Linked DNA regions of Neodiprion lecontei. The protein of the gene in region 1 interacts with the protein of each later gene in a biochemical or structural test. Links are inferred from orthologs where the notes say so. Each region holds a gene or a part of one and is shown in the gene's direction. Other genes may lie near its edges. The genes, in order: ubiquitin carboxyl-terminal hydrolase 8 and signal transducing adapter molecule 1.

Evidence for each region.
Region 2: the proteins of ubiquitin carboxyl-terminal hydrolase 8 (region 1) and signal transducing adapter molecule 1 form a complex in vitro, tested with the Homo sapiens proteins (2 studies listed by BioGRID). The link is inferred for Neodiprion lecontei from reciprocal best matches to the Homo sapiens genes USP8 and STAM.

The regions. Positions count from the first base shown.
Region 1 is NC_060265.1:31,615,567-31,620,487, reverse strand, and holds the start of ubiquitin carboxyl-terminal hydrolase 8, read left to right. Parts: upstream 1-1,853; 5' UTR 1,854-2,095; exon of another isoform or gene 2,096-2,446; intron 2,447-2,527; coding exon of another isoform or gene 2,528-2,542; coding exon 2,543-2,821; intron 2,822-3,014; coding exon 3,015-3,391; intron 3,392-4,833; coding exon 4,834-4,921. UniProt on the Homo sapiens protein: Hydrolase that can remove conjugated ubiquitin from proteins and therefore plays an important regulatory role at the level of protein turnover by preventing degradation. Converts both 'Lys-48' an 'Lys-63'-linked ubiquitin chains.
Region 2 is NC_060261.1:32,829,571-32,837,249, forward strand, and holds signal transducing adapter molecule 1, read left to right. Parts: upstream 1-1,800; 5' UTR 1,801-2,378; coding exon 2,379-2,418; intron 2,419-2,804; coding exon 2,805-2,965; intron 2,966-3,082; coding exon 3,083-3,328; intron 3,329-3,823; coding exon 3,824-3,896; intron 3,897-4,036; coding exon 4,037-4,246; intron 4,247-4,316; coding exon 4,317-4,436; intron 4,437-4,514; coding exon 4,515-4,703; intron 4,704-4,785; coding exon 4,786-5,015; intron 5,016-5,196; coding exon 5,197-5,417; intron 5,418-5,536; coding exon 5,537-5,645; 3' UTR 5,646-7,023; downstream 7,024-7,679. UniProt on the Homo sapiens protein: Involved in intracellular signal transduction mediated by cytokines and growth factors. Upon IL-2 and GM-CSL stimulation, it plays a role in signaling leading to DNA synthesis and MYC induction. May also play a role in T-cell development.

The DNA.
Region 1 (4,921 bases):
TGTATATGATTCCCTTCTGTAGTTGTTAATTCTTATATTGATATAAATCGGCTTGGAAGCTTCTAGAACGTTTTCGTTTCGTCGGTAAGTTTCCTAATGTATTCTCTAGGTAAGGCCCTGTATGGCTCCACATTGGAGATCTGCATTGCCTTCAAAACGTTGCGCGTGTTGCCTACAATACGGCGTTGCGGAAGAAGGTATAGTTCATGCTGGGTAATTAGCATTCACGGTTTGATGGTTTTGCAGTCTCTGGTTTTATGGGTTATTGCAGCAGTGCTATCTTTACATTATATTGGTTATGCATTTATCTATGGTTTTACAATCTTCTATACTCCGGGCTATGTAGTAAAGCGTATGTTGCTTATAGTATAGCTCTCACCTCCGAATGCACAAATGGCATTGTTGAGTGCTATATAATAATTGAGTATAATTGTGTTAGTTAATTATAGTGTTAATATGATAGTGATATATAATAACGCATAATAGTATTATAGTTCTCTGTGGTACGAAGATCTCGTAACATGGTTTTTAAGCCTTGGCTAGTGAATTTCATAGTTATTTCCATCTAGGGATATTCCAAATAGTTAGACAGTTGTTTTAATTTCTTATGGTTACAAGATTCTCGTACTTCGAGTTTGGTTAGTTGATAAAAGTAACATGCAGTAATAATAGTCGATAAAACATACGGACGTTCCGGTCGGATGTTACACGTTCGTAGATTTACCATAGCAGCGCCATCTATTGATTACTTACTCAACCCAGTCGAAAGGTATCGACATCTGTTAGAATCATTCGGAGTTGACAGATAATTGTGACTGTCAAATAATAACAGACAAATAATTAGCAATATATTATAATTGCGACTATAATTTGAGATTTAAACTATCCTATCTCTCAAGTTGGATCGAACTGCACATGGTGTGCGTATTTTATTATAATCGGTTAAGTGGTTTAGGAGTCCATTGAGGACAAACATCGTGACACGAGATTTATATATATTAAGAAGATGATAATAATATGTGAAAAAAATATCCAAATTACACAGATGATATGAAGGAATTCGATAATATAAGACTATTAATAGTACGGTAAAAAATTGCCGTAAATCACAAATCGAAATAGAGACATGTGTTCTTATAAAGTGCGTGGAAAGAATAATATCGTCAGAAAAATATAACCTAAAGCTTACCAATATTGAAAAAATAAGGATATAAGTACTCACATGGATGTAAAAAAGCAGTCGAAACTCTACAAAAGCATCTGATGTTACGAAATATAACTTCAAACCCATAGTTACCGCATCAAATACATGTATAATATGAGGTGATATATACCAATTGGTTTATATGCCTCAGGAAGTAAAAATATGCATTCAGTCGCGTGTTTCCCGCCGTTTGCTGTCAAATTTGTCACACCAATAATTCTTGTTCGTTATGCCATATGCCATGGAATATGGCTTATGGATCTTTATGTAGATTGAAATCCATAATCCATAGGCAGAATGCATAAACCATACGGACTGGCCTTTTGCAATTGCGCATGTGCTACGGCTTCTGCATTCTGCCTATGGCCTCTGTAATTTTATGTGCTCCAGCCTTAATTCTGCCGCAAAGTGCTGCCGAACACGGTCTTTCATGATCGGATGCTACATGAAATGCTACGGATGTGTTGAGGTCCGTGAACAGAATGCTGCCTGGGTAGTTATGCAATAGTCCCCGGAGTTTGCCCAATCCAGGCGCACCTAACGTACGACCATCGTACGACAGCTCCTCATTCAACACTAAATTGCTTTGTATTCCATTCCTCATACTGGCAATCGTTGGTCATTTACAGGTGTTTGATAACACAATTGCAATGTTTGATAACTCGACCGCTTATTCAGGAAAATTGAAACAATTGTAGTTAGGCATAAAACCGATAGCATAATTGACCAATCAGAGCATTTTTGCTGCTGATGCATTAAGACCGTGATATAGTCAGATCCAGTTGAATACCTCCGTGTGCGCGGTACGCGTTTGAGGTGGAGTATATTTCAGTGCCTTCGATTACCTGCGTTGACTTTAATTATTTGTCACCTGTCAGTTGGGAGTTGCGGGTAACTGTATCTTTCTGTTTCCACTGTTAAAACACTAGTATGTTCAAATCAACGACGAAAGAGACGTGAAAGCAAATGTCACCGTTTCTATAACCACCAATGTTGTGTGACGTACATACCTTTCATGAGGCATACTACGTATTTGTAATGATCGGATCTGTAGAATCCTCGAAATACAGTCAACTAATAGAAGCTTGGCTTTATCCCAAACTCACAGATACCGATTTTTTAGTTCGTATTATATAAAAAAAAAGTTATTAAAACATGTTGAACCGTGTTCAATGTGTACCAATTTTCATGAAACTTCACGATGTCGGTGCAACTTTCAATTGATCATTGGAATAACTAGTTGTACGAACCTCAATTTCCAAATCGTCTGTTTCAAACGTTGGTTAAGCAGAAGACCCGACTGACTTTTTAATTTAAAAACAGAATCCTACAGTGACAATGCCAAGTACTGTACCCACTTGTCCGCTTCATTGTGCCACATGTTTCGAAGATTTAACGAGCCAAGCAGAAGTTAAATTCGAAAAAAAAAATCCTAAGATGGTATGCAAATCTTTGGGAAAATTACTGGATGAAGGAAAGAAACACAGATTGACTGGAGATGATGAAATGGCTTATATAGTTTATATGCGATGGATTCACTGCATTCGCTGGCTCCAAAAAACGCCTGATTTTACAGAAAACAAAGATTTTCTCAAGCCTTATGTTTCGGGGTCTAAGGTAATCCTGGGCAAAAGTTATAGATTTTGGTAGATGGCAGAAAATGTTAGGTTGACCTATTTCCAACATTTTTTTTTAATAGTACATTATCCAGCCCTCATACCTTTTAGGAAAAATTGCTTGACTTTTGAGCAGTATTGATTTTTCGAAAATCATTACTTAAATTAGGCAGCTAAGTGTGTGTGATTTACAGGTAAAGGAGATACTAAGTCTTTTGGAGGAAATTGCTGACAGATTGAAAAACAGGTATAAGGTGAAACGATTGGAAGAGAATACTAAACAGATACTGAATACTGTTGAAAAGGTGATAATTGAAAGCGATCACATGAACGATGATGATTTGTTAAATGAAGTTGGGGATATCGAGCTGAATTTACCCGACACACCGACGGATGACCCAGATACCAAACTGACTGAAACGTCGATAACATGCATGGAGATGTTTCAAGAAATGCAAAAACTGGTTGATCGAATAATAATAATTGATATTAGACCGCGAGGAGATTTTCAAAATTCACATATCAGAAGCGATCAATGCATAAACATTCCAACTGACCTAATAAAGACTGGGTAAACACACAGTTTTCATTGGCTTTAAATGAGATACTCTTCCAGGGTGTATACGCACTGGAGAAATGCCAGAAATTTTTCTTACTGGGGAAAAACTGAAATTTTCTGGTACTCTGTGATAGTAAGATAAATTTTGCACAATTAGTGCACAATTCATGTTTTGTTTAGAAAAATTTTTTCCCATTATGCCTGGTTGACATAGTGTAATAATATCGTTTGTCTAATGGTATAAAGACATATGCACCAAAGATGCGAATTTCTCGGAAGAAAAAATCTGTTAAAAAATTAGACGTAAAAATTACAGAGGTTAATGGCCCTCTGTTTGGTGGATATGCCCTTTTGCACCAAAAAATATTTTTATTTATCACACTTATAAATGATATCAGGTTGCATCCGCCATTTTTGTGTTTTTTTCGCGACCAATGCAAAACCCTTCAAAATATGAAGATTTCTCAATTTTGAAAAAAAATTTACAATTGCGTCTTTTGTCAAAAAATATGGTTGGACGTAAGGGTATAAGATCGTATTCGCCAACTTATTTTAAAGCTTTGAAAACCTTTCGAATGTAAAGATTTATTGATTTCGGAAAGGATAAAAATTTTTTTTTCACAAATAATTATATCGGACATAACAGTACAAGGGCGTATTCGCCAATTTATTTTTTCTTGCAAACGCTTTAAAAATCTTTGAAAAGTAAAGATTCATTTATTTTGGGAAGAATGTTTAAAATTTTTATTTTCTCAAAAAATAACATCATACGCAACGGTATAAGGTTGTATGTGGGAAAATGCGACCTTACACCATTAGAGAACATGATTATTTTTCATAAACTTTGTGATTAAAGGGCATACCGACCGTACGTACGACGCTCTACATTAACTACATTTTTGAATTTCAATGTTTTCGAATGTATGCTCATATTTTTCGCTTAAATACGATCGAGGAAAAAAAATATGCCTTTTTATCTTTACATGTGGTAAAAGCTCGTATAATGACACATACATCCTTATACCATTAGACATACGATGAACCTGATGTGAAAATAAAGGTTCTAAAATATTTTACACATTTAAATTATCAATGTACCCTGAAATTCTTAACATGGTGATGAAAAGCTCCCGCACGCATTCCTGTGATCTCAAATTTTATTGATAGAATTTCGTATTTTGCAAGCTATAAATAACATTCATGAAAATTAAAGCGCGATGTTATAAAAGTATATAAAAGGCTTGTAATTTCCTCGATATGCAGAGTAATATCAATAATCTATGTCTAGGCACTTGGGAGAAACATATTTTTCACTGGGAAATTCTAGAAAAACCCGGTATTTTTTTTTTTTTTTATTCCCAAATACACCCAGTCTTCATACTGATTCTTGAATTGTTATTTATTAAACGAATGAAACATGTCGCTGGTTATTTCTAGTATTTCTAATATTTCAGAATACTAGCTACCGATCTTTTTAAACGATTGAACGGGGATGAGAGAACATGTCGAGTTATTCGGCACAGAGCTCGGGAATACTGCGAT
Region 2 (7,679 bases), on another chromosome or scaffold:
ATTTTCAGCTAATGAAACCTTTTGTCTGTTTCAGCTAATCAAACTTTTTGTCTGTTTCAGCTAATCAAACCTTTTATCTGTTTCAGTTAATCAAACTTTTTTTCATTTTCAGTTAATGAAACCTTTTGTCTGTTTCAGCTAATCAAACCTTTTGTCTGTTTCAGCTAATCAAACTTTTTGTCTGTTTCAGCTAATCGAACCCTCCGTCTATTTCAGCTAATCAAACCTTTTATCTGTTTCAGCCAAGCAAACTCTCCCTCTATTTCAGTTAATAAAATTTTTTGTCGTTTTGAGCTAATCAAACGTTTTGTCTGTTTCAGCTAACTAAACTTTTTTCACTTTCAACTAATCAAACCTTTTATCTATTTCAGCTAATCAAACTTTTTGTCTGTTTCAGTTAAGCAAACCTTTTGTTTGTTTCAGCTAATTAAATTTTTTGTCTATTTCAGCTAATCAAACTTTTTGACTGTTTCAGCTAACCAAATCTTCTGTCTGTTTCAACTAATTATTTTGTTTTTTTTTCGTTAATTATATTTTTTACTTATATAAGCTAAGTATATTTTTGTTTGTATCGACATATGTCACTCATTATGTTTTCGTCTGTTTCAGGTAACTGAGTTATTTTGACTATACCGAAAAATTAACGTTTAATTTTTTAGGCTTAGGTCTGGTTTAGGGTCAGTCATCTTTTTTTCACCGATACATAGATTTAGCGATGTAGTTCAGACTCATCACGATCACAAAATGTGGTAAAATTTATTCAGCTGTAGAATTTTATTAACGGTTTTACAGTCTTTTATTGTGATCGTTTTAGTGTCAGTCTTACAGCGATTCGTGTTTTCGATATTGGTTTAGTTGTCGATTGTTTTGCGTATCCACCATGTTCTCCATTTTAGGGATTATCTCATACCTCATAACAAAAAAAAAAAACCCGTGCGCGAACTTCCAAAGTCAATCGCCGTTCGTCTATAAGATAAAAACAATCACCGTTCATCCATAATCAAAACAACCATTTTTCATCTATAATTAAAACAGTCATCTTTCATCAATAATAAATAGTCACCGGGTGATATGAACTGAAAAATTTCAAACAAACTGCAAATATACGCGAGTACAAATTGATTGGAAAAAACAATTTATCATAATTAATATCTGAAAGAAAAGATTTTTCGAAGAACGTAAGATCGATCTTGCAAGTATTCTCCGTGGAGTAGGCCTACTGGGGAAACCACGTAAAAAAAAACGCGCCCGGTGCTCTACCGCTTGTGGTGGTGTGGAAACGAGCATAAGTGTACTTATTTTCACTGGTCAAATACTCATTGTAGTTTTTCAAATAACAATTTTCTTCTTGCGTAAATTTAACTCATTGTCAATAAAAACTAATGTCAGTTAAATTATTTTCATATGTCCGCTTCATCTTGTATCGGAATAAAGATATGAGCGTTGACTGAAGATACATATTACTATCTTCAGTTAACGGTACGAGCTAAGTATTAAACATATGAACAGAAATTACATAAGGTACATATAGGAACAACTATATATCTCCATCCTTTGATTAACTTCTTCGACTATGTCTCCCATCCTTTGCATCGAGAAAAAGTTTCCAACTCTGTCAACAGTAAACCAGGTGCATGTTTATTGTGCATCTATTTAGATAACATTATTTTTGTCGATGCGATGGAGTTAGATTGATATTGCTGAATTTGGACCATATGAATTTGCATAGTTGAAAACTATGCGGCGTCCATACGGGGTTATTTGAAAATTTTAGTGTTCCCGTTCGTCATTCCGTAGGCGTAATAATACTCCACTCTGCATTATCTGGGTACACGCGGTGAGCGACGGTAACATCAGTTCGTGTCCCCTCTACTTATCGACCATTTGCCGGATTGGGTTGCGCGTGTAGAGGATGACGCAGAGGGCGCTGCTTGACGATGAATTTATGTCGGCCATTTTAAATTACGAAAAGCCCCATAAAGCTAGCAGTCTTTATGAATCTTCAGTCCATGCTTCAGTCAACGCGACCAAAATACCATATATGGAAAAAACCCGACAGGTAGTACTTTGCAGTATTTTGCAATTGGTACATTCGCTGGCTCCCTCTGCCTAAGGACTTACAATGTAAGTGACTTGGTCGATAATCGTTCGACCATGACTCGCAGCACGAGCGTCGACCCGATTCGATAATAAAATGGCAGCGCAGTGCTCGAGATTAGGATGTTATTAGTCACCCAACTGTATTTATGATTAAATATCAGCTGGATGCGTAGTAAAACGTAAACGGGAAACTCGTGATACTGAACGGTACGATTCCGCAGTTGCGTGAAGTCTACGTGATAATCAACTTAATACACAATTAAACCAACTACGTAACAATGGGACTTTTCTCAAATTCACCGTTTGACGCTGACGTTGGTAAGAGTTCATCTACCCCTCCCAAACTTAATTTAACTTTCTGTCGACGTTAATTATGTATATTGTATTTAGAAGCACTACTTTTCTTTGCAAGATATTCATCGCGATTCGTTTCTATCACAACGCTATTATTGCGTATGAACATTGAACGCCTAAATAAGTGCATCTGATTTCTCCCCCCTTTGTATTCAATCAGTTGTTAGTCAATCGAGTTGGTTGATCAACTGTCTTCTTTGACATGTGGAATCTCGATGAAAATTTGGCATTGTGTAGACTCTAATAGCATCCCCAATCACTCATGTGTTCCATAGCCAGCTATAAATATCGGATGAATCTGTGAATTGCAATAGTTAATCTGTATTTGTTAATATCATGTTGCATTCCAGAAAAGGCAACCAATGAAAAAAATACGTCTGAAGAATGGGGTTTGATAATGGATATATGCGACAAAGTAGGCAACTCCAGCCAGAATGCCAAAGATTGTCTTCGCTCCATTGTCAGGAGGCTAAATGCTCAGGATCCACACATTGTTATGCAAGCTGTGACAGTTAGTATTAGCTCTCGCTAAATAATTACCAAAGAACAATATATATTTCAAATAATTCAGAGAATACAAATACGCCTTTCATCATTTCAAATTTCTGAACTTTCTTATAAAATGTAGCTATTGGATGCTTGTGCGAGCAATTGTGGGAAGACATTTCACTTGGAAGTAGCATCCAGAGATTTTGAAGGCGAATTGAGAAGGTTGATAGCACGTTGTCAACCAAAAGTAGCCGAAAAGCTAAAATCGCTATTGAAGAAATGGGCTGAAGGAGATTTTAAGACGGATCCACAACTTAATTTGATTCCTAGTTTATACAACAAATTAAAGAGTGAAGGTTTGGATTTCTCATCTGTCCCAGAAATGGTAAGACTCATTATAGCTTAAGATCACATTTGCTTACTTGACTTCAGAGACTTGGTTACGAAGTGGTGTGATGCATACTACAATGTACATTGATAATTAATGACAAAAGCAGTATTGAGAAAAGGATTTATCTTTGTGGATTTACGTGTGTACTAAGAGTTCAATTTCATTAGATAACATATCTGTATCACGAATGAAGCATATTTATATGTTTGCAATTGATTTGAATTCTGAACTAATGAATCAGCTTTGTTCGTTTTCAATTTCCACACAATACAAATGTTGTATGTAAATAATCAAGATGCATTGAAATACAAGTATACACACATATGTAAGTTAACAGTAAACGCTGCGTATTTACAACTGATAACATATACATACATTGAAATTGACTAAGCTATTCAAACCTATTTAGTGTCAGTAATACGGAACCATCAAAACTGGCAGATCATGTTTTTGCAATAATAACATTCATTTGTAATTAAAATTTTTTAGCCTAAACACACAGCTATCAGTAGGGATCCAAATGTTGTAACCAATTCTCAGGAAGAAGAAGACATAGCGAAAGGTAAGTAATAGTTGTAATGGTCTTACAATTAGCAAGACAGTTGTATATCACTGATTTTCTAATTTATTATTACTTTTCTGAAATGAAAATCAGTCGTAACTCTTATTACGTGTTTTTTTGTTTTCATTTTTTCCTACCAGCAATAGAACTTTCGTTAAAAGAGAACAAGCAACATCATCATTCTACTATCTCGCATAGTTCACCATCGACAAAGAAGTCTAGCAGTTTATATCCTAGCGTCAGTACAGCGTTGAGTTCAGCTAGTAGTACAGATGGAAGAAAAGTTCGAGCTCTATACGATTTTGAGGCAGCTGAAGATAACGAGCTGACATTTTTAGCTGGGGAAATAAGTAGGTATCATTAAGCTTGATTCATATTACAATGAAAGTTCGTTTTCAATTTTTATTCTGACTCTTACAGTTCACATTCTCGATGATACCGATCCGAATTGGTGGAAAGGAACAAATCACAGAGGAGAAGGCTTGTTTCCATCTAATTTTGTCACTGCGGATTTATCCGTGGAGCCCGAACAATTTACAAGTAAGAAACACCCAGAATCAAGATCACAGAAACACCACTGTTGATTGGCTGTGAATACTTTCAACTTTATCTTTACAGAACTGGAACACGGCAATAAAAAGTCCGTGCAATTTGCGGAAGAAGTTGAAGTGAAGACGGTCAAACATGAGCCAGAGATAATCGAGGTTGAAATTGATGAACCTAAAATGGACCGACTTCTCCACCTGCTACATGAGGCCGACCCTGAATGCGATTCGACTGACACGCAGGAAATGTTAGATTTGGAAGGTACAGAAGTTGTCTACAATATTTTTCACTTCATTTTAACATGATTAATTTTTCGAACATCGGATGTTTTGCATTTTTTCAGAACAAGTTACAGCTATGGGACCGCTTATAGATGCGGCTCTGGAGAAGGTCGATAGGCGACACGCCCAACTAACGCAATTAAGCTCGGACCTGGTGGATGCTCTTAATTTGTATCATACGCTAATGAGGGAACCACCACCTCCGACCCCGACGAATTACACATTACCAAAAATGCCTCCAACCCACGTCAACACTTACCAATTTCCAAACCAAGGACCACCTCCACCTCTCGTTAGTATCTCATCTTCGCTCGCAGTTTTCTCTTTCAATAATTAACTGCTATGAGGACATACCGAGGCGGTTGAAACGCCCTATTGTCAAATGAAAACCAGTGAATGCAAAAAGGAGCTGCATACCAGTGCAATTGCTAATATGCATCCACCACTTGATTTGACTGACTTCCATTTTATAGATGTATAATGGTATGCCTCAGCAGCCTTCATTCAACACAGGGGGTATGCCTCCAGGAGCATATCCACCTGGTATACCTGGGAGCGAATACATGGCTCCCGGAAACATGGGAAACGTGAATTTACCGCGTTTTCACATGCAGCCTGGCCCGCCACCTTCTGGTCATCCTCAGGGCCTACCACCGCCACCTGACCGAACAAATCTACCTTATCCTCAACAAGGGTAATATATTGCTCTCTTTTTTTCCTCAATGTGAATTGTGCAAAATCTAATTTTTCATATAATTTCATGGTAATGTAATGTTACCTTCGGTTTATACTTGATAAAATTTTCCCAAAAAGGTTTCCATCACAAGGTGCTCCTGCAGGAGGATCTTACGCTGGGCCACCAGGGCCTTCAGTAAATCAACAGCCTCAATATGCTCCTCCAAATGGACAGCATATGATGTAAGCAAAGATATAATACGACGTTCCAAAAAAAATTCCCTTGTATTCTACTCAAGTTGTATAATATTATTATCATGAAGATTATTATTATCATTATTACTATTATTTAAATAAGTACGCCCAATGTAGTCAAAAAGCCTGGGTTTCGATATTCAAATCAGAGACTTATGTGTTAATTTTGTTTTCGTATTTCGTTGCCTCGAGATTTTAGTTCAGGTTCCGTTTTAAAATGTCTGACTTGGTGTTTTTTTTAATAAATGCATATTGCATTAATTGTGTATCTGCCTATCACTGTACATTAGATGTTTTCCGTAATCTTACAATTATTCTTATTTCCAACATGAAATTCACAACACTACGTATATGGTGGTCAGAACTGTAAAGAATAATATTTTTTAACATTTTGAATACGAAGTGAACCGTTTCGGAAGACAATGTCGGTAATATATCTAATTAATTTCGATCGCGAATTAATAGACCTTGAAGGTCATGCTGATACCTAATTTATCATATGGTCCTATGTGAAATGAAAATTAACATAGGCAGGAAACTGAAGTAAACGACAGAAGTAGAATACGCTGAACGTAAGAAAAATTATTATTTAACTTCGTATGTAGCTATAATTTACTAATACTATTATCCCAATTATGTTCTATATTAAAACATAAGAGATAAAAGTTGGTAAAGCTTCTATAGTTTGCTTAAGTTAGTTTGAAAGTGTATACAAACCACAAGAGGCTTGGTCGCCTAATGCTGTATAAAAAAAAATTATGTAATAATCAATATATTTAAATGGATCGATGGCAGTTTTGTGGAAATGTATGCTGGTTGCGTCTAGTCTAAAATTTGCCCGATGCTTAATCTTTTTTTTTTCTTTGTGATAATGTACAATCGACGCGTTAAACGCTTGGCTGGGATTATTTACGTTCTGTCTGAGAGGGACTAATACAGTGATGACAGTAAAATCGATTAATTAAAACTGCAAACTAAGACAAAGACTGAACTGTCTTTTATTGAGAGTTTCCTTGCCAATATCAAAGCCAGTCAGCCAGTCAAGTGATTGCAATTTCAGCTAATAGATAATATATGCATTTCCTATTGCACGAGAAGAGCCGGTTGCGATAAAATGAAGCTAGTTCAAGTACAGAAATCTCACTTTAAAGTAACAATCACACATATATACATATATACATATATATATATATTTTGAGAAAATTACGACTGGCGTAAGTTTCGTGTTTTTGTAAGTACTTGGTATAATATGTAAATTATAAATAAAAAACAGTGAATACAAGTCCTTATAAGTTACAAGTTAATGTAAACGATACTGTGAAATGTATACCTATGTTACGTTGCCATTGAATTACAATTATTTACGTAAATCACAGCCTATCCATTTATACTTTCCACATCTATTTCCTTGGAACAGATTCCCACTGTGTTAGTTATTATCTGAACTTTTCAAAGGCCTAATCTCCCCTATCTCCCATGCGGTTATGAATAATGATTAGACAATACTATTGTTGTTCACAGAATAATAACAAACACTTTATCTCGACAATGACATTTATTTGATTCATCCTATTATTTGTCCTTGGCATTTACTGTAAAGACGTCAGAAAGGATCCGTTGCTAAAGCAATACGGATTTTGATGATAAAATCAACATATTTTCGGATCATCAAAACTCGTTGCAAATTATCCACACGTAGGAAAAAATATTCCAATCACCACACAAAACCATGATGCGTGGTTTTGCTGAAACACAATATGTAAGTAATACCGCGAGTAATTGAAATGCTTGATATATTACATACAGCTGAAATCTCGATTATCTTGTTAATTGGGAAATTCGCGGCGATTTTATGAGGTGTTTTAAATGCACCTGACCTTCACGAGTATCATTTACATATTTATATACATCATGCAGCAGAAATTGATGCAACCACGTAATATCGTCCAACGCGTGGAAAGTAGGAGGTCGATCGAACAGAAATAAGACTCTTCAAAATTAGTTAGCCAAACATTTTAACAGGAGT